3 linked regions of the Drosophila melanogaster genome follow. The gene in region 3 interacts genetically with the main gene of each other region. Each region holds a gene or a part of one and is shown on either strand. Other genes may lie near its edges. The genes, in order: Ras64B, Edem2 and sty.

Region 1 (3,600 bases), 710 kb from region 3:
TCATGAAAACATTCGTCCTTAATTGTTGTCGTTGATCAACAAAATAATATTACAAAAATATATGTAGAAATATATATGTATATATAAGTTATTCGTGTGAATCTGTTGTATATATCTACCTATGTTTCGTGTTTCTGTTTGCATTTTGCATTGTTAGTTGTCAGTTGTAAGATTCTTCGTAGCTATTTGAGAGTGGCGAAGTTTATTCGATTCGTTCGTTGAATGCGCCATGCACCTGGGCAGGTAAGAAATGCACTTCGTTTGGGCTCGTTGACACGTTTTGTGCGGTTACTGGTTTCGGGTTACTGGTTTATCGTCTTCTCAACGGAATTCAAAGCTCAGTCGACGCGTGTTTTTCAAAAAATTTGGTGTTATAATCATTATATGTTGGCTCCTGCTTCCGCTGCGGCATTCAGGAGATTCTCTTCCATTTAGTTCCTTCTACATCAGGCAGCACTTCCTCTTGCCCTTCTTCTTGTAATCCTGCTCGATGAAGGGACGCTCGGCGATCTGGAACTTGCGCACGATCCTCACGAGCTCGTGGAAGGCCTGATCGACGTTGACCCTCAGTTTGGCACTGCACTCGATGTAGGGGATCATCAGGTTGCGGCTGGTGTTCTGCGCCTCCTCCAGGGACACCTGCTGCTGGTGCTTCAGGTCGCACTTGTTACCCACCATCAGCATGGGGAACTCGTCGCGATCCTTGACGCGCAGTATCTGGCGCTGGAACTTGGGGATCTCATCGAAGCTGGAATGATCGTTGAGCGCGAAGACGAGCAGGAATCCCTCGCCGGAGCGCATGTACTGCTCCCGCATGGCACTGAACTCCTCCTGGCCAGCCGTGTCCAAAACTAGGTAAAATATCAGGTTATTATGAATCTGGTAAGGGTAAAGAAAGGAAGCTTACTGTCCAATTTGGCTGGCACATCGTCGATGTTGCACTGCTTCGTGTACGAGTCTTCAATGGTGGGATCGTAGTCCGTGACGAAGTAGCTCTGCAAGATTAGGATTAAAATTATTGTACCGCCAGCTGCCGAGGCCACAAAACTACATATATAAACATTATAAGACTGGGTTTTTTATGTGGGCGGGGTGCGTTTATCATTCCGCCTTTGATTTGTTTACACACGTCACTTTTATCATTCACTATCCACTATGCTCTATATATCTTGGGGAAAAGCTACAGCATATACACGAAAGATGTGCAGATGACGCAAATGACTAAAAATAAATGGAAGCGGGCGGTCATTGTGGTCGTGACCATGGCACAAACTCTCGGGGAATCGATCGGCACACCCAGAAAACTGGGGGCTGCGTCTAACGCAACTCCCTGGTTCTGGGCTCTGACCACTTGATCCCCAATTGGAGATACACACGGGGGTGTGGCCACCGCGATGATGATGCTGCCAATGATGATGATGATGATGATTGTGTTGGTGATGATCTCGGCCCGAAACTATGCACACGCATGTCCAAACACAGACGCACATCACAGTCGCTTGTTGCTTGTTTGTTGCTCTGGCCAAAACAAGGGCCGTCCCCCTGCCACCGCCCCTGTGCGCCATCGCCCCCCACTCCCACATTCAAACGCCCCTGTGGAAAGCGACGTCACCAGGGATTGGGCCGATGCTGGGCGGCTTACCTGGATGAACTGTATCGTTATCGCTGACTTGCCCACGCCGCCGCCGCCGACGACCACCAGTTTGTACGTTTGCATCTGCATTTCCCCGTTTAAATCGACCAGTTGGCCAGCAAAATTATTTTATTTTCCTTCCTCGACAGCAGCAGCGTGACCGTTCTCGGTTAACTGAGAAATCCACACTCGCACTGAGACGGGTGCGCGTCTCTGCTAGACAGTAATATCGATATCAACTATCGCTAGCCAGCAATCGACTTTCGCCCATCACTAAGGCTAAGTCATCAAACGAAAAAAATACAGAAAAATTGGCCAAGGAATAGATAAAATTCTTTAAGTCAAGTTAGCCCACGCGAAAAAGCGAACGGAATAAGCTAAAAAGACATATTTACACGCAGTGTGTTCATAATCGAGTTGCCTTTGCGCCCGTGACCAATAAAACGCAGTGAAAATGGCCTTGAAAGTGCTGGTGGGCCAAAAGCTGATGAACGAGGTGGTGAAGTACAAGCCTCCACCACCCAAAAAGCAGGGCGTTACGTCCGCTGCGGGGGCGGGCGGCATGGAATGGCGGGTGCTGGTGGTGGACAAGCTGGGTATGCGCATGGTGTCCGCCTGCACCAAGATGCACGAAATCAGCGCCGAGGGCATCACCCTGGTTGAGGACATCAACAAGAAGCGCGAGCCGCTGCCCACGATGGACGCGATCTATCTGATTACGCCGTCGGATGAGTCAGTGCGCGGTCTGATACGAGACTTCGAGAACCCAGCGCGGCCCATGTATCGCTATGCCCATGTCTTCTTCACCGAAGTTTGTCCCGAGGAGCTATTCAACGATCTGTGCAAGTCGTGCGCGGCCGGAAAGATCAAGACGCTGAAGGAGATCAACATTGCATTTTTGCCATACGAATGCCAGGTGTTCTCGCTGGACTCGCCGGACACATTCCAATGCCTCTACTCGCCGGCCTTTGCCTCCATTCGGAGCAAGCACATCGAGCGAATTGCCGAGCAAATAGCCACACTGTGCGCTACCCTTGGGGAGTACCCAAATGTGCGCTACCGCAGCGACTGGGACAGGAACATCGATTTGGCCGCGTCGGTGCAGCAGAAGCTGGACGCCTACAAGGCCGACGATGCCACCATGGGCGAGGGCCCCGAGAAGGCACGATCCCAGCTGCTGATCCTGGATCGCGGCTTCGACTGCGTGTCGCCGCTGCTGCACGAGCTCACCCTGCAGGCCATGGCCTACGATTTGCTACCCATCGTCAATGACGTGTATCGCTACACGCCCGGCCCCAACCAGCCGGATAAGGAGGTGCTGCTCGACGAGAACGACGACTTGTGGGTGGAGCTGCGTCACGAGCATATCGCTGTGGTCTCCACCCAGGTGACTCAGAACCTTAAGAAATTCACCGACTCTAAGCGCATGGGCTCGGCTGACAAGTCGTCGATGCGCGATCTCTCGCAGATGATCAAGAAGATGCCGCAGTACCAGAAGGAGCTGTCCAAGTACTCCACCCACTTGCATTTGGCCGAGGACTGCATGAAGTCGTACCAGAACTACGTGGACAAGCTGTGCCGCGTGGAACAGGATCTGGCCATGGGCACGGACGCCGAGGGCGAAAAGATCAAGGATCATATGCGCAACATTGTGCCCATCTTGCTGGACGCCAATGTCTCGAACTACGACAAGGTTCGCATCATTGCCCTGTACGTCATGATCAAGAACGGAATTTCCGAGGAGAACCTGACCAAGCTGTTTACGCATGCCCAGCTGTCGCCGAAGGATCAGGATATGGTGCGTAACCTTAGTTGCTTGGGCATCAATGTCATTGCAGATTCGCGCAAGAAGCAGTACTCGGTGCCGCGCAAGGAGCGCACCACAGAAAGCACCTACCAGATGTCCCGCTGGACACCGGTGATCAAGGACATCATGGAGGATTGCATAGAGGATAAGCTCGATCTCC
Region 2 (11,448 bases), on a different chromosome or scaffold from region 3:
CAAAGTTTTTGTTTTTTTTTTTCACACAAACCCATGTTTGAATATCACCCAGAATACCCGATCTATAAATGTGCTTTTGGCTGTCTGCCCAAGTATAGTTCAAATATAGGAAACTATAATAAGTTGCGTGTTAAGCCCTGTAGTCCTAACAATCATTTTAGTCGTAAGTAAGTCGGAGAGTAGTAGCCTTTATTATGCGCTATTTTGAAATAAGTGTTTTTGTTTCTTTCGTTCTTTTTATTTTTTCTAAAAGAAAAACAAAACTAGCTTAAGCTATCGTAGTTTTAGGCATATGAATTCAACTGTTTGATTTGCTACTATCGACTGAAGTAGTAAATTTGTCATATTTTTAAGATTAATGGAAACACCAAAATGGAAAGAAATTAATGTCATTAAAACGGAAATCTATTAAAAATACAACGTTTTTGTTTGCATCAATTGCATCTAGTCGATTCACAGATATGTTGTCATCCACAATAATTTGGTTTATAATACTCGATCACGGATTTCGAGACTGCCTTTGGACTCGCATCCTAACGAAGTTGGTTTTTTACTTCAGTTGAATCTTGATTATATGGATGAGCCGGTCACCGAGATCTTCGTGTATTGGAGTACAAGGGAAGGTTAATCCTATAAGATCTCAGGGGTAAAATCATAGCTGGCTCTTGAGTATTAATGATAAAACGAAAATGCCTTTGGTTTTTAATTATAGTTCGTATATTTTAAACTAATTTTGTATAATATCTAATCAATTTCAACTACTCTGTTGTCGATCAATTCCGACTGTCTACCCTATAAACTAACTTCTTAAAACTAATCATTATTTACGATTTTGTTAGTCTCTAAGTTCTAAGTTTTTATATACAGAAGTTTTACTTACATCAAAAAAGTAAAATCCATCGAAAAAATTGTGAGGTGGACCAAATATACAATTAGAATGAACGCGAATGCGATGCTATTCGGTTATAATATAGCCACTAGGAAGCCAATTGCCTGCCTGAGAACCAACCACGAAATGCAAAGATCCCTAAACTGAGTTCCATAACTCGTGGCATTAAATCGCTCTTACATGTCTAGTAAAGTACAGGAAATTCCAATTTAGTTACGTTCGCTTACTGTACACACGTTACGAATATAGAGAATATACATATCTCTATTTTGGCGAGAACCATTTCAAGGCTGTATCAAGCCCCAAAAGAAGAGTAAACGCTGAGGGTGCTCCGGCAGCCGTAGCAGTCCACTACAATTCTTTTTCCGGTTTCTGTGCTACCGACGCTGTTTGGTTCTGGCGCTGCTCCTTGGCCAGTTGCCACCGCTTAAACTCCACCATCTGCATGACGCGAACACGCAGAGGTTGTTTCCGTCGCTGCATGACCGCCGACAGTTTGCCGAACTCCATGCTGTACATGAATACGACTGGAATGAGCACGTCGTCCTTGCCGTCGCCAGACATTGCGAACATCGGCTGCGTCTCACCGGAAGAGCCCGGAACATTATCACAGACAATCAGCGCCGCCGCCCCCACCTTCTGGGCCAGTCGCGCTTTGCTAACGAACGTGCAATCGCCGCGCTCGGCCACCAGGACCTTTCCTTTCGCCTCCTCGGCGTTCTCTAGGCTCTCATCGCATGCTCGTAGCGGCTTGGCCAGAATCACGTCCCCTTCGACGAACTGATCGCCAGTTAACTCTGGGCTAAAGTGCGACGGCCCGGCCATCAGTGCGATCCAATCCTGTGAGTTCTCGTCAGTGGCGTAGGCAACGGCCTATAAACGAGAAAACCATTTCAAATATCATTATGATGATTTCCATTTAAAATGTATAAAGCATGCAAACCTGCAGTTGCGCTAGCTGATTTATGCTTTGCATCTTGGTCAGCTCAAGCATCTCCTGCATAAATTGCAGTCCCATTTCGCCCTCCTCGTGACTTTTGGCCTGAATAAAGTCGAATTTATATTATTATATTTTTTCTACGATCTGTGTGCTGATGATGATGAGAAGGAAGAGTAGGAAGCGAAAGATCGAGGAGGAACTGGTGGCACAATGGTTACCAACCAGAGTGTCAAACTAAATGCAAACGAAACCAAAAAGCAGAACAGAAAAAAACTTACATTATAGAAACTATGAAACAGTCGCACCTTGCCTTGGCTGCGGTCGCCTACCGAAACCATGGTAATGCCCATGTCGTAAACAGCTCGAAGATGATCTGCATTGCTTGCCTGAAAATCCAGGGCGCTGAGTCGCTTTCCCGCTGTGGTGCGAGGGCACGAGCCCGTAATGAAGTTGCGCAGTGGTTTGCGTACTTTTTCAGGAAAAAGCCTATTTGAACTGGGGCAGGTGCGCATGAAGTCGAGTACGTTGTGTTCGTCCGTCTGGCGAAAGCCTGTAAAAGAATGGAAAACATGAATAGTAGTTCTTTCAAATGGCCAACTAGACTATCAGTACGTTAAAGACAAAAGAAATTGTTGCAAATAAGCAATTGAAACCTTTCCAGACCTATAGATGGAATTACTGATAGCGTTGCGGCGATTACGTAAAACAATTTACAAGTACTTACTAAACGTGGCATTCCCTAGTTGGGCAATAGAGAGCGGTAGCAGATGAGCCTCGGTCGTGAAGACGAACTCATCGACGTTTATGATCAGATCCTGGGGATCGGAGAACAGTAGGAAGAGGTACTTGATCGTCTCGGAGAGCACAAACGAGTCCATGCGATCCTCATGCTTGCCAGTCCGTACATCATTGACGGCCGCATAGCCGCAAGATACCTTAGCATGCTGCTGGAGTGTTTTCAGAGCCTTCTTGCCAACCTGCAGATAATGATGATCGCCAGTGGCGCGGTACAGGAAGTAAGTGGACTCTATAAATTCTGGTCGCAGGGGATGCTGTCCCCAATGGATCTGGAAGTCGACGGTAAATGCTTCTGGAATGAAGGTGTGCATCTGCATGACCTGGAAATATGTTTAAATATATTTGTAAATCAAATCACATTCATTGGTGGCTTTGGAAAGGATGTTACATACCTGATAGAGCATCTCGTGTGTCTGCACAGCTGGTTTCAGATCGCCCGATAGCACCTGCAAGCCCGGCCAAAATGCCAGAAGCGAGTCCATGAAGTTTTTGGACTTAGCATGTGGCCTGTGCATGAGCACGTCGAGTAGCATGGGTCCTTCGCTGACGTACTTCATCACTGCGTTGTAGTGGCGATTAAAGCGTGCCAGGTACTTGTCGTCACCCAGTAGGACGTACGACTTGAACAGGTACTCATAGTAACTGTCGATGCCAGCTCCGACTCCAGAATCGCGACGCACCCAATCGCCCGAATGGACATTAAGTACCGTGCCCATGAGATCGGAGCCACGGTGCCTTAGCTTCCACAGTGCATCCATGGCGGCGTGAGCTCGCACCTCGAAAATGGGATCGCCGGTGAGACGCGACAGAGCAGCAAATTCCAGAAGGATGGTACCAGCACACGCCGTACACGTTTCACGGGACTTCTTGAGCATCGGGTCCTTCATGCCCAGGCGGAGATTAACCCGCGCATGCGGAATGCCCGTGGATGTGTTGAACGCCGGTAGCAAACGGTAGCCCAGCTCGCGAGACATCTCCAGCAGTTCGCCCTTGTACCAATGCATCGTGTCCGCATGCTTTTGCAGATACTCCGCCAGGATGTGCGCCGACAGCAAGCCACCGACCATTCGAATGTTCGTCTCAAACACCGACACAATAATGTCGCTGTCGAATTGAACGTCGCGGATAACTAGCTTCACCGCGTGATCAAACTCTGTGAAATCGCCCAGGAGCACCAGAGTGTCCAGAGTATCCACCAGAGTCATGGAGAAACTAAAAATAAGAACAATGTTAGTAATCCCTCCAAACCTTAGGTTTTTGAACTCACTTTCCAAGGATGTCGTCCATGTCGCCACGTGATGGCGTCACTCCTCGGTACCGTCCTTTGCAGGAGAGCGGCATAAGCTCATCAGCTGGATAGGCGTTCTGCATGTAGGCGTTGTATGCATGATAGAACATATCGCGAGCCTCTTCCCTGAAAGCAAATGGAACATATTGTATACTTGAATTTACTTTCTACATATGTGATTGTTCAGAACAACTTTTAAGCTTAAGCGTTTTAATATGACTTAATATGAAAGTCATGGATATATAATTCGTTTTTATAAGCATCACATTTAAATGTATATCCATAAATGATTAAAAACGAGTTATGCTAATTTGACCTCGTCGTTTCTGACGCATATATGGGTTACATTTAAACAAATTGCATAGATCCCTCGTAAAACCAGAGTACATTAAAATATTAATAGTGTTTCTGAAACTTTCTTAGTTTGGTAAATAAATAAAAATAAGACGTACAGAAGTTGCCCTGGTCAGGAAATACAAGGAAACGAGAAGCTGAGACTTACCGGAGTTCCGCCCGCTCCTTATTGGACATGTTCTGCGTGGGCATGGTGGTTTCGGTGCTAAGGACGCAGGCAACTACGATGCACATGGCCACCAGGAAGATGAGCATAAGCCGCTGGCCGCGGACAAAGGATTCGGAGGATGTGGTAGACATGGTGCTGGCTATCTGGAGACTACCGATGGCGGCGGCGGTGGCGTTGGAGGTTGTGCTGGTGACGGCGGATGGCTTTGTCTTTCGGCCGCCAGACTTGCCGCTCGAGTCGTTGTGACGTTGACCTTCACTTTGAACGTGTGGTGTTGAAACCAATGTTTCGATGTCTCTCTGTCCCGCTTCTTTGTTGACTCCGCTTTGGGCCCGTGGTCCGCTTGAATTGGCTCTGCAGCCTAATTGAAACAGCCAACTCATAATTAGCTTATAACTTAACAAGTAATTTTGTTCGACTGAAATTAGGCTTACCTGTGCCCGAAATGTCGACCTAATTTGTTGTTGTTTTTTTCCCGGTTTGCACGGGCACTAGAAGATCGGGTCTCTGTGGATAAAACTGGAGCGCGCTGCTTCTACGGCATCTGCAATTGCACATTCATCCTCCCAACGACCGCGACAACTGCGACACACATCGTGACTATTTATAATCTCGTTTGGAATATGTTTTCTGCTCCAATAACAAAACACCACGACGGCAAAGCGAGCGTCAGAATCGTAAGGTTACTGCGGCCAGCCGATCGGCGGGGCATTACGGCTCTCTATTATATATCCAGCTGAGTCTGTTTTTATAGTTATCCGAGCTGCTGTGCTGGCAATTATCAGATCGCTGCTTATCAACGATGAACTCAAGATTCCTTAATTTTATCACGAAAAAAAAGTGATTGCACCCTCAGTGTGACCAGCTGTGCAGCGGGCGGAAGAGAGTGGCCCTCCGCCATTAAGCTATTGTTATAAGCTAATCTTTAAAATTATTTTATTTATGCTCTATATTAGTTGAATAAGTTCATTATTCTTTTCCATTTTATAGAATAACGATAATATAAATATATTAAATTTTATCATTGCACAGCACTGGCTTTTGGTATATTTCAAACGCCTTTTCCGACTACCTTCTAATGCGTATGAGTATACTTCAACGGTTCTTTTACGGCCACACTGTAAGCCAGACGAAAAAAGACGCGAAAAGATGCAGATAATATAAACAACGGTGAGATAATAATTAAACAATATGTCATAAAAGACATATTTATTGAGTGACTAGCTTATTGGGGTAAAAAACATAGATGTTTCTTTCTATGTAGCCCAGTGAAAAGTTCAAACTTTCGACAGATGCGAGTGTGTGCGTAGCTGAAACGGCTGCTTCAGGCACAAAGGGTGAAAAAAATGCGAAACCAGAAGTTTCGGTGGCTTCATAATTACCTGGAATGAGATACTCCCGTTATTTCTCGATTTACATCCGAATCCGAGCCGCGAATCGTTGCCCTTGGCAACATCTTAAGCTGCAGCACCTTGCACATTACATGCATATGTATGTACATATGTGCTCACACACGCACACACTCACTTGAGATGAGTTTTTCCAAGGTAAAAAGGAGGCGAAAAGCGATGAATGAATTATGAGAGTGGGCGGAGCGGCGAGTAAATCTTCAATTTGGTGAACGATTCCACTTGCGGGGCAGCAGGGAATCTCGGCTAATTGGCCGTTTTACTGTCAGCCCGACTCATTAGCGGCTTTTCACATGTCACCAGGTGTTGCAAGTGTGTGCGTGTGTGCGTGTGTCTGTGTGTATGTATCGCATGTACATTATGTACCCGCACTGTATACCCAGTTAAACGGTTGTTTTGAGCTCGGATTCCATGACAGATTATGCAACCCACTCTATCTCCGTCTCTTTCGGTCTGCTCCGATTCTTTGGCTTAACGAAATTGACATTTAAATTAATGGAAAAATATACAGCTAACTGGCATATCAGCTGATTAGTCTAATTTATTGGTAGCACCACACCAATTTGGCAACTACTTTCTCGCTCTGCGAGGCAAACGTACATATGTACATACATAATTTAATTATTGTCTTAGATTCGTGGCACTTTTTTTTAGCCATATTTCTGCATGTGTATTTCGTGTTTTTTTACGTCTGTATGCTGGGCTATTTCTGTATCGGTTTTTCGTTATTTTTGTTGTTTGCATTTGTTTTGGCCAGATTTCTGCTGGTGTGTTGAATATTCGCCATCAACAGTCATATTTACTTAGCGATTCAAGCTCTTTGGGAACTGAGATTAAATGGAATACCCCTGCGACCATCCATCTTGATCACTTTTCGCAAAGTGCCGGCTTATCAGTTTTATGGGCTCATTGCTCTTATCAGCTTTGGCCCAACAGCTGGCCACCAACCGTTGTCAATATCAACAAATAGAAAAGCTTTACGCCTTCCATATTCTATATATGTGTAAATATATTCTACGTGGCATCGGGGGTCAGTCACTCGAGACATGGGCTGTATTATACAATGAATTATTTTATAGTTCTCGCGTCTTTTTATCCGAAAGCCATTGAGTAATAATCTTGGCAACTGAAGTATACCATATATTGTACGTAATTGCTTTGTTGGTGCAGGTTGTGGTTGCTGGGCGGCATTTCATTCGATATTTCTGTTTATAAACAAATGCAATCGGCGGCATTAAGGAAAATTTAAATATATGCTAACTTATAATGGCCACTTGCTGATTCACAGCGTTGCGGACTACGTTTGTTTTCCTCACCATTTATCTCAATAAAACTTGACGAGTACTTTAAGATCTCAAAAACCTTAGATTTAAAGCAATATAAAATAATTGAGCAATTTATAGCTAGATTTAATCTTTATTTGTATCAAAAACAATTACATGTTCACCTAAAGTATTCGCTTAATCTACAGACTTTTTTGTTAAGTGTTTCTATTAAAACTTCTACATTATAATAACTTTTTAGTTCCTTGCATGCCTTAAAGTTCTTAATCTTCATTGCGTGCGAATGGAAATCTGTCGTTGGAGAAGTGGGAACTTGTCCACATCCAGACAGACACTATTATAATGCATTATTAAAAGAAGAATACTACAAAAGTTCCACCTCTTTACGGTTCCAAACATTTCTGTGCGTCGCCATTTGGACGCGCAACTGGACGTCGCGTCCTCCGCCTCCTTTAGACCACCGTTTTATTTATGTTATTTACCTAACTTATTGATTTTGTCCGTTGCCCAATCCCACTTTTCCCTTCTCCCGCTGAAATGAGAGTTGCGACACATATTTTTTGGGCTCCCGAAGGGTAAAGGCGAAAATCAATAATGACCAAAAACCTGAATTGGTTTAATTTAGTGTCCAGACATCCAAAAACTTCGAGATGGCTTGTACCGTTGTACGAAAAATATAAAGTGAACATAGTTGATTATAACACAATATAAAATTAATATATTTAGCAATAAATAATATTCTGAAAACCCTCTTATCTTACAGGTGTACTATGCGACCGTACAAATATTTGAGATTACATACTGAAAAATGGAAGCAATATCGAAGATTTCCTTGATATTGTGTGCCTTGTTTGTCGGGCTCAAGGCCGCAGCGGCCATCAGTGGTGACAGCACCCACTGTCTGGCCACATACAGCAGTGCCGAGGCGTACCTGGCCCAAATCCCGCAGCAACATCGTCCACAGATCAGGCCCAGGATAAGGACCTGGCAGGAGCACGAGTTCTCACTGCTGGGCTACAAGTTCCACCTACCGTTTGTGGGCCATGCCGTCGACTCGGATCTAGATGATAGTGACAGTGATGAGGGTCTGTGGCTGGATGCGGCGGACGCCGGATCAGAGAGCGTAGAGGTGGAGGAGCATGAACTTCCTTCGGTCGGTCACGTCGATCCCACGGGCAATGTTTTTAAGCTTAACTGCGAGCATGTGGACCTGAGGCGAGTTAACCAGGAACTGCTCTCCCAGCGAAGCTCGCACATTAATTACAACCAGCTGATGCTGGCCCATGTACCTGCGGATCGCAGTAATCCCCTGAAGCTGCCACAGCTTGAAAGTCTGAGGGAATTCAGCTGGCAGAGTAGTGAACTTAAAGATGAAACGCTCATGGAGCTCTTCACCCGCCAGCCGCGCTCCTTTGAGTATATGGAACGGCTCAATCTCGCCGAGAATCGCCTGGAGTGCCTTCATTGGGCAATTCCGCTGGCCGTGCGGCGCGTGAAAGTACTTGAAATGAGCGGTAATCGACTGAGCAATTGCAGCCTGCTAAACCTGCAGTACATGAAGCAATTGCAGGAGCTGCACTTGGACAGAAGCGAACTGACCTACTTACCGCAGCGCTTCCTGGGCGAGCTGAGCGAATTGCGCATGCTGAATCTCAGCCAAAATTTGTTGACTGAGCTTCCACGAGACATATTTGTTGGAGCCCTGAAGCTTGAGCGCCTCTATCTATCCGGAAACCGGCTGAGCGTTCTGCCATTTATGCTCTTCCAAACGGCAGCCGATCTTCAAGTGCTGGACCTCAGCGACAACCGCCTGCTATCGTTTCCGGACAACTTCTTTGCCCGCAACGGCCAGCTGCGTCAGCTGCACCTGCAGCGAAATCAGCTTAAGTCCATCGGCAAGCATAGTCTGTACAGTCTGCGCGAGCTGCGTCAGTTGGACCTTAGCCAAAATTCTCTGTCCGTCATCGATCGAAAGGCGTTCGAGTCTCTGGATCACCTGCTCGCCCTGAACGTGTCCGGCAACAACCTGACCCTGCTGTCATCCATCATCTTCCAGTCGCTGCATGCCCTCAGGCAGTTGGATCTCAGCCGTAATCAGTTCAAGCAGCTGCCCAGTGGCCTGTTTCAGAGACAGCGCTCCCTGGTGCTGCTGCGCATTGATGAGACGCCAATAGAGCAGTTCTCCAACTGGATATCGCGCTATGACGAGTCCCTTGTGGATCCGCAAGTGCTTCATCGTTTGCGTTACCTTTCCGTGCAGCAGAATCGAAAACTAACGTATTTACCCGCCACCTTGTTCGCCAATACTCCGAATATAAGGGAGCTGCTGCTGGCCGAGAACGGATTGCTGCAGCTGCCCACGCAGATCTCAGGGCTGTCACGATTGCAGCGACTCAGTGTGCGAGGAAATAGCTTGGGATCGCTGCCCGAAAATATCAAAGAGCTCAGACAGCTGCACTACCTTAATATATTGGGCAACGAGTATCAGTGCGACTGCAGCATGTATTGGCTGACTGCCTGGCTGGCGAATACCAGCACAAGCCTACGCCACCAGATGCCCCAGGCACAGAACCATAGCAATGGCAGTACCAATCAGACTCCACTGGACTCGTACGAGAGTATCGATCATCAAATCGATGCGCTCAAGTGTCAGTATGGTTATCGCGGCGATATGCTCCGCGTGCTAAGCAAACTCAACTGCTCGGTGCCCACGGTGGTGCAGTTCTCCGAGCCAAAGATGCACAAGCTTCTCTCCACCGCCAAGCTGGAGTGCCAGATTTCGGGGAGCCCAGTGCCGGATATCATCTGGGTGAGTATAACATCCTTGTATTGTACTCATATTTTGAGTTTATCGTGTTCGTTTAGGAGTAACTTAATGTTAAAAGAATATGTTCATATAGCATTGCATATTATTATATATTTAAATATCCCATGATATCGGAACTTATTATGCCCTTTTAATAGTTAATCCTTTAGCTTTCCTAGAGGTGACTAAATGTATTTTTCTTCCATGAACTTATTATGAGGCACAGAGTTAATCGTTTACCCCTCATCAGGTGACACCGCGCAATAAGATTTTACGCCACCATGCTGATCCTGACAAGCGCCCGATCATCATCGACAGCAAGGAGGATGCTCACCAGCCACCGAGTGCCCAGGAGCTAGCTGCTCTGATGGACGAGAGCTACATTCAGTCGTTGAACTGGACACGTCAGAATAGTCTAGTGGGTCGTCGAGTGGTGCTGGTGGAGAACGGATCGCTGCTGGTGCACAATATTTCGAGAATCGACAGTGGCCTCTACACTTGTTATGCCTTCAATGTGATGGGCAAAGCCTCTGCAGGATTACGGTGAGAATAATGGCGACTATTATGTTTAAATACTTCTTCAAAGGGTTTTTTTTTTCCTTTTCTCGCAGACTGTACATCGATCCCATTGTGTTCTACCGAGTTAAAATCGGTAGCATTCTGTTTGGCACGGCTCTGGCTACCGCATTCCTGCTGCTAACCCTGATTGTTCAGGGATTGAGGAGCTGCCTGTCACGTTGGGGCATCTGTAACCGTTTCTATTGTTGCGTCAATCGTAAGAAGAAGTCACCGCGCAAACACCAAATATACGCTATGCTGGACAGCATCGAGACCTACAAGAGTCAGCAATTGGAGAGGCTGAGAGAGAACTATACGCAGCAGGTGCACCGCATCCGGGAGAACTGCGCCCAGCAGGTGGAGTGGATCCAGAGCAGCTACACCAGCCAGGCCAAGCATATTCGCGAGTTCCGTGACATAGGCTCGAATCATCTGACCACGCTGAAGGACCAATACTACGATCAGGTGAAGAAGGTGCGCGACTACTCCACAGGCCAGTTGAGCTGGGTGCGGGAAAACTACGTCTTCCAGAGGAACAAAATCCGGAAGTTTAGTGCGCATCAGGTATTGCGCCTCCGCGAGGGATACAAATACCAACAGCAGACGCTGAACAAGGTGCTGGAGAACCTTCCTAGCTTCTACTTTGAGAATTGTCGCGGACGATGTGAGGAAGACATTGCCGAGGGTAAAATATTATAACAAACTACCTTTAAGTCGTATATATATTAAATTTACTCCTTTTTTTTTCATCAGACATAGACTGCTACTTCAAAGGCCAAATGGACTTTGGTGACTCCAAGGAGCTGCACATACAAAAAATTAAGGCGCGCCTATCTGCTAATTACTCAGCCAGCAAGGCGTCGCTTTACTATACCCCACCAGACGATGACTTGCTGCATAGCTCGCAACTTAACCTGCAGAACTCCCCCATCCACATCAACTACATTGATGAGA
Region 3 (11,448 bases):
ATGTTTGCAAAATGGGTTAAGTTTTTAAAATTCTTGCTGAGCCTCAGCCTCCATGTGAGCTGGCATAAAAGGCCAAAGTGTGTCTCAGCTTTCAGCCTTCAGTCCGATCTTGATTTCGCGTCATTATGATTCGCATACAGATTATACAAATTTCGAAAAAAGATATATATTCGGAGGGTAGGGACTGGTTGGTCTTCATGTTTATGAGACATCTGCAGACAAACGCAGCGGGTAGCCGGCGAACGAAAACACGATCTCCATCCTCATCAGCCAAACCAATTTCATTTCGAGATTCGTTCAGCTGTCGGTATTTGTGGGCTACTGTTTCGAATTTTTCAAAGTCGCCAAATAATTTTAATGATCTGGCACAGCGAACAAAGTACTAAATTAACTTAAGAGCCTTCTTCCAGCCACTTCGCCCCACTCATCCTCGCCGATTCCGCCTTTCCCCCCATTTGGGGCAGTGAAAATGATTTATGGCATTCCAGAATGCCTAAGCTCTAAGGCTCAGGCATAAGATTTGATTTTTAGGTAGGGAAAAAGGGTACAGATGACAAATTTATAAAATTAAGACCTATCATACTATCGATTAAATGTTATTCCATTACTCAAAGCTCAAAGATATTGTAGGGAAATTGTTCATCATTGTTTGACTAAAAGAAACAATGTCACGAATTTATTTTTATCGAGTTGATCTTGTTTTTTTAAAATATTGGCTAGGATAGACTTTTCAACTTTTCCAGAAATTTAATTCCCAATTTCTACAAACTATACAACCGCGTATTTACTCAGATATTTAAGATTCAAATGGATGAACATTTTATAATACATTTATAATATCCTTGACAAATCTTCGATAAGATCTCTTGCATAAAAATCACTGGCATATAAATGACTTTTAATGCCTTTCCAACTGATGAGCACTGGTCACTTAACCTTTGGGTGACTTTTAGCTCTCAAGAGAAGAACAAAAAGTCAAGATCCAAAGTTCCAATTGACAATATGAATGACTTGAGACATTTAAGTGTTCTTCGACTGCGAAGGTTCATATATTGATAGAGATGGACAAGGGACAATGAAGCTACTCACCGGTGAAGGGAAGTTGCTTGATGGATGGGTTCTGGTTGAAAGTTTTCCTCGGCTTGGTCGACTCGATTGCAGATAATGCGGATAATTTGATTAGAGATTTTTTTTGGCTCGGTACAGCTCGCCTTTGTTCGTTCTGGTTTTTGGGGTTGATTGAGTTGTTTTGTTTTTCTGGTGGCAACTGTACTCAACGAGATGCCTTGGTTAATTGATTAATAGCACGATTAATTTGTAATAAAGTTAAAGAGGCTTACGCTATGTATGATTATGTTTTTTTTTTCAATGGGATAGTTTACTATTTAAAATTGTTAATTATTTAAAAACACGCGCACTTTTACTTGGATTCACTTAAATTACGCATACGCCGTGTGCGCATCTATTAATCGCTAATTGCGTTGTGTCTTTGAACATACAACTGTATATATATCGGGTATATATATTTGGTAAATAATTTTGCAAGCACAAGTTCTCGGAGATTGCACGTTGAATGCAGCCTGACTATCGTCCAGTGACTGAGCCAATGTTGCACGACTTTTGCATCGGAGCTGCAGCCTCACCCGAAGATTGCCGATAGGATCTCGTCCTGGAGGGGAATACCCATTCGTTGGGCCGAAGGTCCCAAAATCCGAAACACGAAACGACATTGCGTGGGCTTCGTGCGACATTCGTATTGTTTTCCGATTTCGGCTATTGCTGCAGGACTAATCCTGGCTCCTGGCTGCTGGTTGCTCCTGTTCCCAGCTCCTGGCTCCCAGTTCCCTCCATTTGCATGGCCATCCAGCCCCCTCCAATTGCCTACCAACCCACCAGCCACCCGCCACCCAACATCCTGGCCTCGGTGGCCCGGCCAATGAGCACTCGGCTTTCAAGGTCGTCCGTTTGACGGCCATTTTGAATGCATCGCCACTTTCAATGGGCGCCCACTCACACACGCCTGCATTTCCTGGCCCAATGAGCTGGGCTCTGGCCCACTCAGTTGCCTTGGCAACGACCTTCGGTAGGCGTCGCCTCGACATTGGCCATGGCAGTGAATTTCCACTTGGGGGTTGTTGCAATTACCCCCAAGGTCATCCGTTGTCCATCAGCTGTTCGGCCAGGGTTGCCCTGCCTCCTTAAGGCGGGCTTATTTGAAAATTAGCCAGCACCCTGTGCACCGCTCCCAAATTAAAATCGAACAGCACACTCAAAGCTCATTTCGTTTACTGCCCCATAAATTAATCAGTGAAAATAATAAAGATTTCAATATTATTTCCAACGACATCCGGTCGAATGCGGCACCAAATTTGGCGGAAAGCAGCCACTTCGCCGAGCTCCACATATGGGCGGTACGCATCACAATAACTCTACATATATATTTGTATACGTATATATTGTATATGTATAAGGAACATCAGAATAAAGAACAATAAAAAGCTAAAGTCTAACAAGAAAGCTGAGTGAGCTAAATTGGATTCAAAAACGAATGTGGATTACTTTCTTGAGCGCTAGGAAAATGTTATTTTAGGATGAGTAAGTTGAGTAAGATACTTTTTGAATAGCATTAAATAATAATATATTTTAAATACTTCCCAAGAACATAAAGAAACAAAATAACCTTTTAAGATAAGGGTATCCCCGAAAGAATTTCATTTGCTTTGCTGCGGAGTTGGACAACTGGACATCTGCCATTGTTTGGACCCTAAATTGAAATGCCAACCGAAATGTGAATCATTCGATCAGATCAAACTCGACAACAAAAAGTGGTCTGCCATTCAATTATATATACGTATGTATATTGGCCGAAACATTTTTGGGCAAACAAATTCGAATAAATGAGTGTGAATGCGAACGGACAGAATAAAAATAAATGAAATTTCATTGAACGAAAATGCTCAATGAGAAATCCGTATGAAAGTTGGCCAAGTTGATGTCTGGGTGTTTGGCTCTGATGGCTTTTCGTGCATTCAATCCGCAATGAATACGCCACCCCAGTCCAACAGTTTTCCCGCCTGACGTCACAAGTGTCCTAGATAATCGCCGCAGTGGCAGAGGTAACACATTGGCCTCGAGGTGAATGTCTAAACATGAACTCGAGGGCAATTTCAGACAGCCAAAAGAATAAAAATAAAAATCACACTCACAGCACAAGTGGCAGCGAGACGCACGTGCAAAATATTTATTTGGAAATCAGCGATTGGCGTGGTCGCTGTTTTTCTCTAAGCAGATCCGTTCCCAATACCACTTCCGTCCGATAATCGATGGGTTCTGTCAATTATTCGGAGTTTTAATTCTGAATTTTCGGAAGAACACGAAACACGATTTTTCTTAGCAGCAGCCAGTAGCGAGGGAAAAACCAAAATATGAATTGAATATGAATTAAGCAGTTTTTAGAAAGCGAGCTTCAAATCTTCTTAACTCAGATAAGCTTGGTTATAACAGTTAAACAACCAAACATGTTTATGCACTCAATGCTTTGGTAAATGTTCTTTCAGCCTGTCAGTAGTTATAAAATCCATTTTAAAATCCTGTTAATTTCCATTTGACTTTTATTTCACCTTTTCATTCATCCCACCAAATGCCGAGGCAAGGACACTCAAGTGGCCATCGAGTCCTTCGCCATGCGGTTCGTTTTCCTCAATGAGTCAAATGCCGCCCACAAAAAAAACAGCAGCAACACGAACGGCAACATCGGCAATCCCGCCGCGACAGCAGCAGCACGAAAGGATGAAGGATACAGGATGCACGATGGGTGGTGGCTGGTGGCTGGTGGGTGGCGACACTTACCTACCACAGCCGCTAAAGTCGTGCCCTAGTTCCACAGCCCTTTCGGTGTGGATGCCATCCATGTTGGCCATTAGTGCGCCTTGTGAATGAAAATCCTGGCTCTCGCTCTCGCACTCTCTTGGCGGTGGGGGTGGTGACTGTTTTCCCACCCAGTGAACCACGCTGGACGGGGAATGCCATTCTTGGATTTTCCCCAGCTTCGCGCATGTGCGTGTGTGTGTGTGTGCGTTTTGGCCAAGGCAAAAGTTGGCCAAGAAAATCAATGAATGAACCGAGGAGACACGTAGCCAGCCAAGGATGTTTATGTGATTTTCTATATGCAATCTTTATTTTTCCCTCAATGAATCGTACACGCTCGATGGGCATTCAGTTTGGCAGGGAAAATACAATTTCCTTTGGAAATTTTACTGCACCTCACGCCATTTAAGACGGAATTACGTGCCAGAAATAACGTAATGCGATACTAAAGCACTTGCAAATGGAACTTTTGCGAACCACTTAATACCGCTGCACTTCTACGTACATTGGGTGCTTTAAACTTTATTGCACTTTTTACGAGCCAGCAGCTTGTATCTTTATTATTTTATTTTTTGGACAACGCGTCCGGTCATTTTGACAGTTTAGAGACACCATTTAGGTAAGGGGTGTGTGAATAAAAATTTGAATTAATATCTGACATATCTGATATGGCACTTTAAATGGGAATTATGCGTATGCAATTTTTAGCTAGCTTTCAATTACAGAAACAGTGAAAAGTCATTAAACACAGCCAACTAAATTCAGTTTTAAATACCTCAAACTAAACTTCCTATTTCTTTAGCTTACCTTGGTCTCTAATTGACCTGCTTAAGTCGCTTATCCAATTTTAATCGACAGTTTCTCCTTGGCAAATCCTGCCCGGCAGCAATATCTGGCTCAAGCAGAGCCGTGTATAATGGCTGGCACTTGACAGAACATTACCTCGAGGACGAATGACGATGACGATGGCATGGGCGCACATCCTGCTGAACACACTTGGAACTTGGGCCACTTGAGGCCATTGAGGGCAGTACAACAGACCGTTTGAAGGATACTTTGCTGCAGGCAGCAACAGCAGCATTTGCGTCATTCACAAAACTGCGGCTCGTAACTTGCCACACACTTTGGTGCAGCAGCCGAGAGCAGTTGCTGCGACACAATTGTCCTTCCAGCGGCTGCTGGGTGAATGAACCTCCTCGGCGGATGACCCAGTTTTTTGGCTGCAGCAGCAGCAGCAGCCGCAACAGCATCTCCCCCATTCATCGGCATCCTTGTCGCGTTCAATGACACAGCGGCAGCAGCAGCAGCATCGGCGAACTGGCTATGAATGGGAAAAAAGGACCTCTGCGCATGCCAAGTGGGTCAATATCCTTTGGCGTGACGTCACTAGTGACACAGTTAACACAGCCTGCATAGTTGAATCTGCCACCATCCCACCGTTCTTTCACAACTTTTCCGTTGTACAACATTATTGCATTTATTTCTAATTTGGCTCTAACAAAAATCGCAGGCAAAATGGATGTTCGCAAAAGGCGTTATACAAAAAATTTGATTTAAAACCATTATAACAGAGTTCATTAAGCGACAACTGCAACGACGGCTACGGCTGTAAACCATAAAAATGAAACTAAGCTTAAGAGAAAGGATCCTCTGTTCGGGACTATAGAGGATTCACCACAAGCGCACACAGTCTGTAGTTTGATAGGGTTCTGCTTCCTTCCAGCGAAAATCTCTCGTCTGTTGCACGTTTGCAATTTTGGCAGGCGAAATCGCTTAGAGAATCTCGAAGAGCTTCTTCAGCTCCACCATCAGCGCCCAATCCGCCTTGATCAGATCGTCACGGAAGTAATCCTTGCAGGCATCAATGCTCTGGCGAGAGATCTGCAAGGAGAGTTCGAAAAAATGCCATGAAAAAGTTGAGAAATTTCAATAATTAAAAATCCATTAAGTTTCGAAAAGGCAAACCCCGAGAGAGAAATTGTAATTTTTTTTTGGCCCGTGTGTCTACAAATGCATATTAATAACACGCTGCGCTACACATAAATCATTTGCATTGTGAGTTCAGCGAATATGTATAATTGGAACGTGCCAATTGTCATAACTCCAAAGGGAGATTCGAGATGCGGACAGAGCGACTGCTCCATCAATCAAACAACGGGATGGCACGTGTCTTCAGCTCGGGGTCTCCAGTTCTCCTCCAGCACCCCATCAGACCCATCAGCCCCACCAGCTCCGCACAGTCCCCGACATATGGCGCATAACAATTAAAATCATTTTGTACAATACTTTTTTCCATCTTTTTCGTATCCGATTCAGCTTGAGTTTATGCCCCGGCAACGCTTTATCGAAGCTATTTTAGTGTCGCCAATTTTTATGGCGCCTTTTTAATGCGTTTTTTAATGCCTCGCGTTTATGGCGAGCAGTCTGAAGACCTCATGAATAGTTCCACTTTCAGGCCCCCCAAAAGTCTGATTACAGCACGCCCTTGATAAAGACAACACACTCTGTCCTTTGTCTGCCATGTTCCCCCGCTTAATTATTATTTCCATTTCCATTTCCATTCCCATCTCTCTCTTTTTTTTTGTTCATTTTTGGCGCATCGCATATTAATTAGGCTCGATCAATGGTTTTGATTATTGGAGCCGTATATATTTATGTAGAAAAGATTTCTCTAAACGATAAGGGGCATAAAGCCCCTCAAGGAGTCCCCATTTATGGCCATGCATATTAAATGACAGAATGGGCGACTCTTTTGTCCGCAATCCGAGAGTTGAAGGATATCGGAGGATTCAGTCGTTAAAAACCGAGACTGAGTTTAATTATACATCGATTGCTTATCTATGACCCGCCTAAATTAAAGTTTATTTGCCGCGCTGATTTCGTTTAATAGCCCATGTGAGTTCTGCAATCGGATAAAGCTTAAGAACTAAAACCTACTGACTGCTTGCAAGGGATTTTCCATTTTCACGAACTGCACTCCCCTTAGTTTCCACTGAAAACCCCCATTTAGCTGTCCTCTTAGCCAAATCTCGACTAATTGCAGCTATTTTTAGCTCCCACAAAGGCCTTGCACAGTTTTCTGACCGAGCCCGCAAGGCCGAAACCAAAGTCGTGTATGGTTGACCTCAGCTCCAATTTTCAGGCAGATTCGACGAGCTTCTGGGCTGGGGCTGGGACTGGAGCAGGGTTCTCCGCTCTCTGCTCCATTTTGGGTCGCCAAATGCGTCATAGCTGATAAACGGCGAGTGCACAAATTAAAGCCGAAAAAAAAAAAACACACAAAACACCGCAAACGGCGAAAACCGAAGCCGCTGCAGAAACACACACCGAAACTGGGTCGACATCCGAGAAAACTGGGTTAGCTCGATGGTGACGATGCTCCGGGGGTCAGTGAACTATGCAAGTGCACTACCGTGGAAGGTAAAACATGACGTCAGCCGGCAACTCGGGTCAAATAGAGCGCTATACCGTAGATACATATATCTGGGAGCTGGAACGGGTCACTCCCCCCGTAGAACGACCCTGCATGCTTAAGTACGTATCATCAGGTCAGCCATGACATAATACCCTTTCATGGCTCCTCCCAGCTTCTTTTGCACAGCCTTTATTGAGGTCTATAAATAGTCGGGGAGTCTGTCAATTCGAGGTGGTGGCGTACAACCTAATAGCTTTGGATGGAGCCTGCACTGCGAAAAGCCCATAAGATGAGCGATAAAATAATAATGTGATGGCCTAATTAGATTTAATTTGGAATGTAGGTTTACTCATTTGGCCTTTGCTTGCATTACACTCCCATCAATGCTATCAATAAAATTGAACTGAGATTCTATTCGTGCGTAAATATCCATGGTCAAACATGATTTTTGGCAGTGCAAACTATATCAATTCAATTTGTAGGCCTAAAAATACATCTATTCATCTTTGTTTTTACGCCGCATTAATTGAATGAAGCGCGCTGCCAACTAAATGGGCAATTAGCGCCGCCTGGCGTTTTGACGTCACCGATGTCACCCGCTGATAAGGGACCAAAATGAATCGAAAATTAAGTTAGCTATCGATTTTGGTTTTCAGCCACTCCCGCTCCCACTCCCCACTCCGCCACCACCCTCTCTCTCTCATCAAGGGCGCTTGACGTCAGAGCTGGTAAGTAATTGTTAATCAAATGATTGAACGAAAGGAAGTTGCAAAGACCTCTCAACGCCACTTAAGCCAGTTAAGTCATCGATCCGAGGCGTTCGTTGCTGTTGTAGCCATTTAACACTTAACACACAACTTGGCCATGTAATTTGATAAGCCAGCTGGCCAAAGTGGAAGTGACCAAGGTGAGGAGCTCCGAAGGTCTGAAGGTCCGAAGGTTTGAAGGTGTAAGGTGGAGAAGCGGTGAAGGCGAAGTGGGCCTGCACCTGGCCATCGGACAAACGGACCATCCACCCAATCCAGGTGCAATTGACAACTTTGGCACTTCCCCGTTGCGATTGCTCGATTGCCGCTGCCGTTGAACTCAAGTGATTTGCACTCGAAATCGCACTGAATAATGGCATCCGGCATTCGCTCAATTACGGCGCATTGATAATGGAAGTCCTAAAGCTTTCGCGAAATTAATTGAGTAAAATGCAATATTATTCTAGCAATCCATGCGTAATTCAAATCATTTAATTAAGTTGAAAGGTTTGATTCTGCGAATAACTACGTTGCAAATTTACGGTTTAAATATGTTTAATCGAAACTGCGTACAAAAGAACCGAGTAAAAACACAAAAAAAGTGATATAGCTGAGTTTATAATTGCACCACTTCAGATATCTAATCCATTCATAAACACATGCCCACCAAAACGATGATAGTGCGGTTCCTCACTTCCCGACAATAATGCACTCGACTCGAGCCTATCTCGAGTTTTAAGTTGATTCTTCCGCTCCCGAATTCTAATGAATTTATTCTACCGCCCATTGTTTTGAGTAACCTCAAGTGGAGGGTTCTTTAAAATCGATAGATGGACTTACCTTGCTAATCAGCATATCATCGGCCTCGAAGTGGCGACCAAACATTTTGGGCGATTCACCGGGAATCGGATCGATTTTCACGCAAATCTCTTGACCCTTGCGCGCGAATTCGATTTGCTTGTGATTCGATTCGATGGAAGTCACGATTCCAATGTCCACGAACTGCAATCAAACGAAAGAAAGAGAAGAATTGGTGGTCAGTGAAATTGTGAAAGTGATTTTAGCATACGTGGCCGACGGGGCGTATGTGTAATGTTGCGGCAAATTAGAAATAATCAGATGGCCGCAGTGAACTTTTATGGGGTGGGACTTCCGCATGTCGCCGTCTGAATCGCTGATAAGTTTCACCAGCTCGTTTAATATGCCAAAGCCGTAAAATAACTCCACGTTAAGCGCTAAATAAAAGGTTTGCCAAAAAAGTAGAATAGGCCGTGTGGGTGGGGAATCAAATGGCTGGTGGATGGGTGGGTCTTATCAGCGCATCTGGCGCAAGTTTCATATGCGGTGACCACTTCCTCAATTCCACTGATAAACTCGTGGGTGGGTACACTGTACACTGCAATGCCTATCTATGCTTTGCTTACATTTAATTATATATTAAAACTAACATAAATTTAAAACCCATTTTTGTTAAGTTTCGACTATTAAAGTGAAATTTCTATCAAATATTTTCACAGCTTAAACGAAGTCAAATTAAAGTCCCTTTTGGACCATTGATTTTCTCGCTGTGCATGGGCTCCTATCTCGATGGCCTAACAAAGTCATTGAACCAAATTGTAACATGTTTGTTGTCGTAACCCGTTTGCACTCGACAAAAACAAAACAGGAAACTGTTGCCAACGTCGCGTTTCCTGTGGGCGCCCCAATGGCGTCGACGTCGCTGCCCTCGTTCGTATTTCATTCAAACCAAATAAATTATTGAAATTCTTTTTTTTTTTTGCTTTTCATGTTGTTGTTGTTGTTGTGCTGGCCTGTTGCTATCGGTGCAAATAGCTACATAGCACATTTACACACCCCCTAGAAGGAGAAAGACGGGCGAGGGGATGTGTGAGGGGAGAGGGAGCATTTGTCACCATTTCCTGTCGTTGATTACTCATACGCCCCGTTCCACGTCTTCCGTTGCGGCGTCTTCGCGTTTTCGCGCTCTCTTCGAAATTTTCATTAAATGTGTTAATTTATTTCCATTTCCACACAATTTTTTCTTTCAACATTGCGCTACTGCGGTGCGAGCCGGCAATTTTCGTCTTTTATGAGAGCAACGAAATCATCCCAGTGGGGGATATTTATGATAGATATGGTATGTATATACTTATATGTATATATGTTGCAAAGGAATATGGCGAAAAAAAAAAACAACCCGGCCCATACCAAACTCGCACCAAATGATGAGAGGAGAAATTGATGGGCCTGTTGATGCAAGTGGCAAAAAAGGAAATCGTCTTCCAGGGAGATAAATCGGTTTAGATTAAAAGTTCTATTCGGGTAATATTATTGGGACGTCTATACTTGTTTTTGTCTTTGCATAATGTTTACAAAATTCTTTAAATTTAAAACAATTTTTATAGGAATCCTTTTTTACACAAAATTATAAAAAGAAAAAAAAAGTTCTTGTGAACATCCAATTTAATAATTTAATAGATTTCTAGCCCTATCAAGTCATTTAATTTCCAACTGTAAGCACAATTTAAAACGACCAAAATAGTGTGATATACTTTCTGATTTCGATGCCAAAGAAAGCGAATTCTTTATTGGGCATTAAGAAAAAATTCGATGACGATGCGGCCGTCTCGTCTCGCCGAAAAACCCCAAACAAGTTGACTACGAAAACAACATTTTACATTCCTCTTTTTTTTCCCCCGGTTCGATTTTGTATATTTTTTGTACAACTTTTTCTGGCTGGCAGATCGCTTGGCTGTGTGTGTGTGTGTGTGTGAGTGTATCGGCGTTTATCTAAAAATATGATTTATATATTTCGTGCAGACCGGATGTCGTCTATTTTCGAAAAAAGCGCTGCTTGTATGAATGAACGAAAACAACAAATCGAAAGCGAACAAAACGAGATTCAAAAAGCATTTGGCTTTTTGTAAAATGTTTGATGGAGAGCGGCGACCAGAAGAGGGACAAACACATAGATTGTGTGCTATCTTTATTCTTTTTTTTTTGTTTTTTTTTGGGCAGCGCAAACATTTTAGTGACACAATTCTCTGATTTCTTTGCAGCTTGTTTATGCTGTTGTCAGCAGGAAACACTAAATTAGTTGACCGTAGAGAGAATTACCCCATATATATACCGCATAATATATACATGTGCACACATTTTATATGTGTCAAAGACGAAAATTCGCAACATCCGTCGCGCGGGGGACTCGAAAAAGCAAATCTTTCAGGGCCTTTGAGTCTGCGCAGCTGCAACTTCGAGTGGCCTCGAAAAATACAAAATATAAAACGGTAGCCACATCAATTCTTCCAATCTCGGCTGCCGGTCTTGGATTCTCCTCAACCAAATCTTCAGCCCCTCGGGGCTGACGATCTACGCTTTTCAAATGGATCGAGAAGTCTGGGGCCCCACGAACTTGCCTAC

Evidence for each region.
Region 1: of sty (region 3) and Ras64B, changing one suppresses a phenotype caused by changing the other (phenotypic suppression), as found in Drosophila melanogaster (one study listed by BioGRID).
Region 2: of sty (region 3) and Edem2, changing one suppresses a phenotype caused by changing the other (phenotypic suppression), as found in Drosophila melanogaster (one study listed by BioGRID).

The regions. Positions count from the first base shown.
Region 1 is NT_037436.4:4,137,302-4,140,901, reverse strand, and holds the start of Ras64B (Ras oncogene at 64B), read right to left. Parts: upstream 1,827-3,600; 5' UTR 1,724-1,826; coding exon 1,643-1,723; intron 996-1,642; coding exon 908-995; intron 852-907; coding exon 442-851; 3' UTR 1-441. Other genes in the region: Rop (Ras opposite), read left to right, coding at 2,088-3,600. UniProt on the Drosophila melanogaster protein: May be involved in endocytic processes and/or other transport pathways mediated by vesicle trafficking. May interact functionally with ROP protein. Ras proteins bind GDP/GTP and possess intrinsic GTPase activity.
Region 2 is NT_033779.5:13,186,064-13,197,511, reverse strand, and holds Edem2 (ER degradation enhancer, mannosidase alpha-like 2), read right to left. Parts: upstream 5,312-11,448; 5' UTR 4,873-5,311; intron 4,800-4,872; 5' UTR 4,570-4,799; coding exon 4,418-4,569; intron 4,042-4,417; coding exon 3,895-4,041; intron 3,840-3,894; coding exon 3,020-3,839; intron 2,948-3,019; coding exon 2,554-2,947; intron 2,380-2,553; coding exon 2,108-2,379; intron 1,932-2,107; coding exon 1,833-1,931; intron 1,763-1,832; coding exon 1,241-1,762; 3' UTR 231-1,240; downstream 1-230. Other genes in the region: CG16974 (uncharacterized protein), read left to right, coding at 7,939-9,939, 10,187-10,479, 10,548-11,179, 11,248-11,448.
Region 3 is NT_037436.4:3,423,336-3,434,783, forward strand, and holds the start of sty (sprouty), read right to left. Parts: upstream 1,601-11,448; 5' UTR 1,090-1,600; intron 1-1,089. Other genes in the region: eIF5B (eukaryotic translation initiation factor 5B), read right to left, coding at 5,641-5,748, 8,869-9,030. UniProt on the Drosophila melanogaster protein: Inhibitor of tracheal branching that restricts branch budding by antagonizing the BNL-FGF pathway (BNL: branchless, an fgf inducer of branching).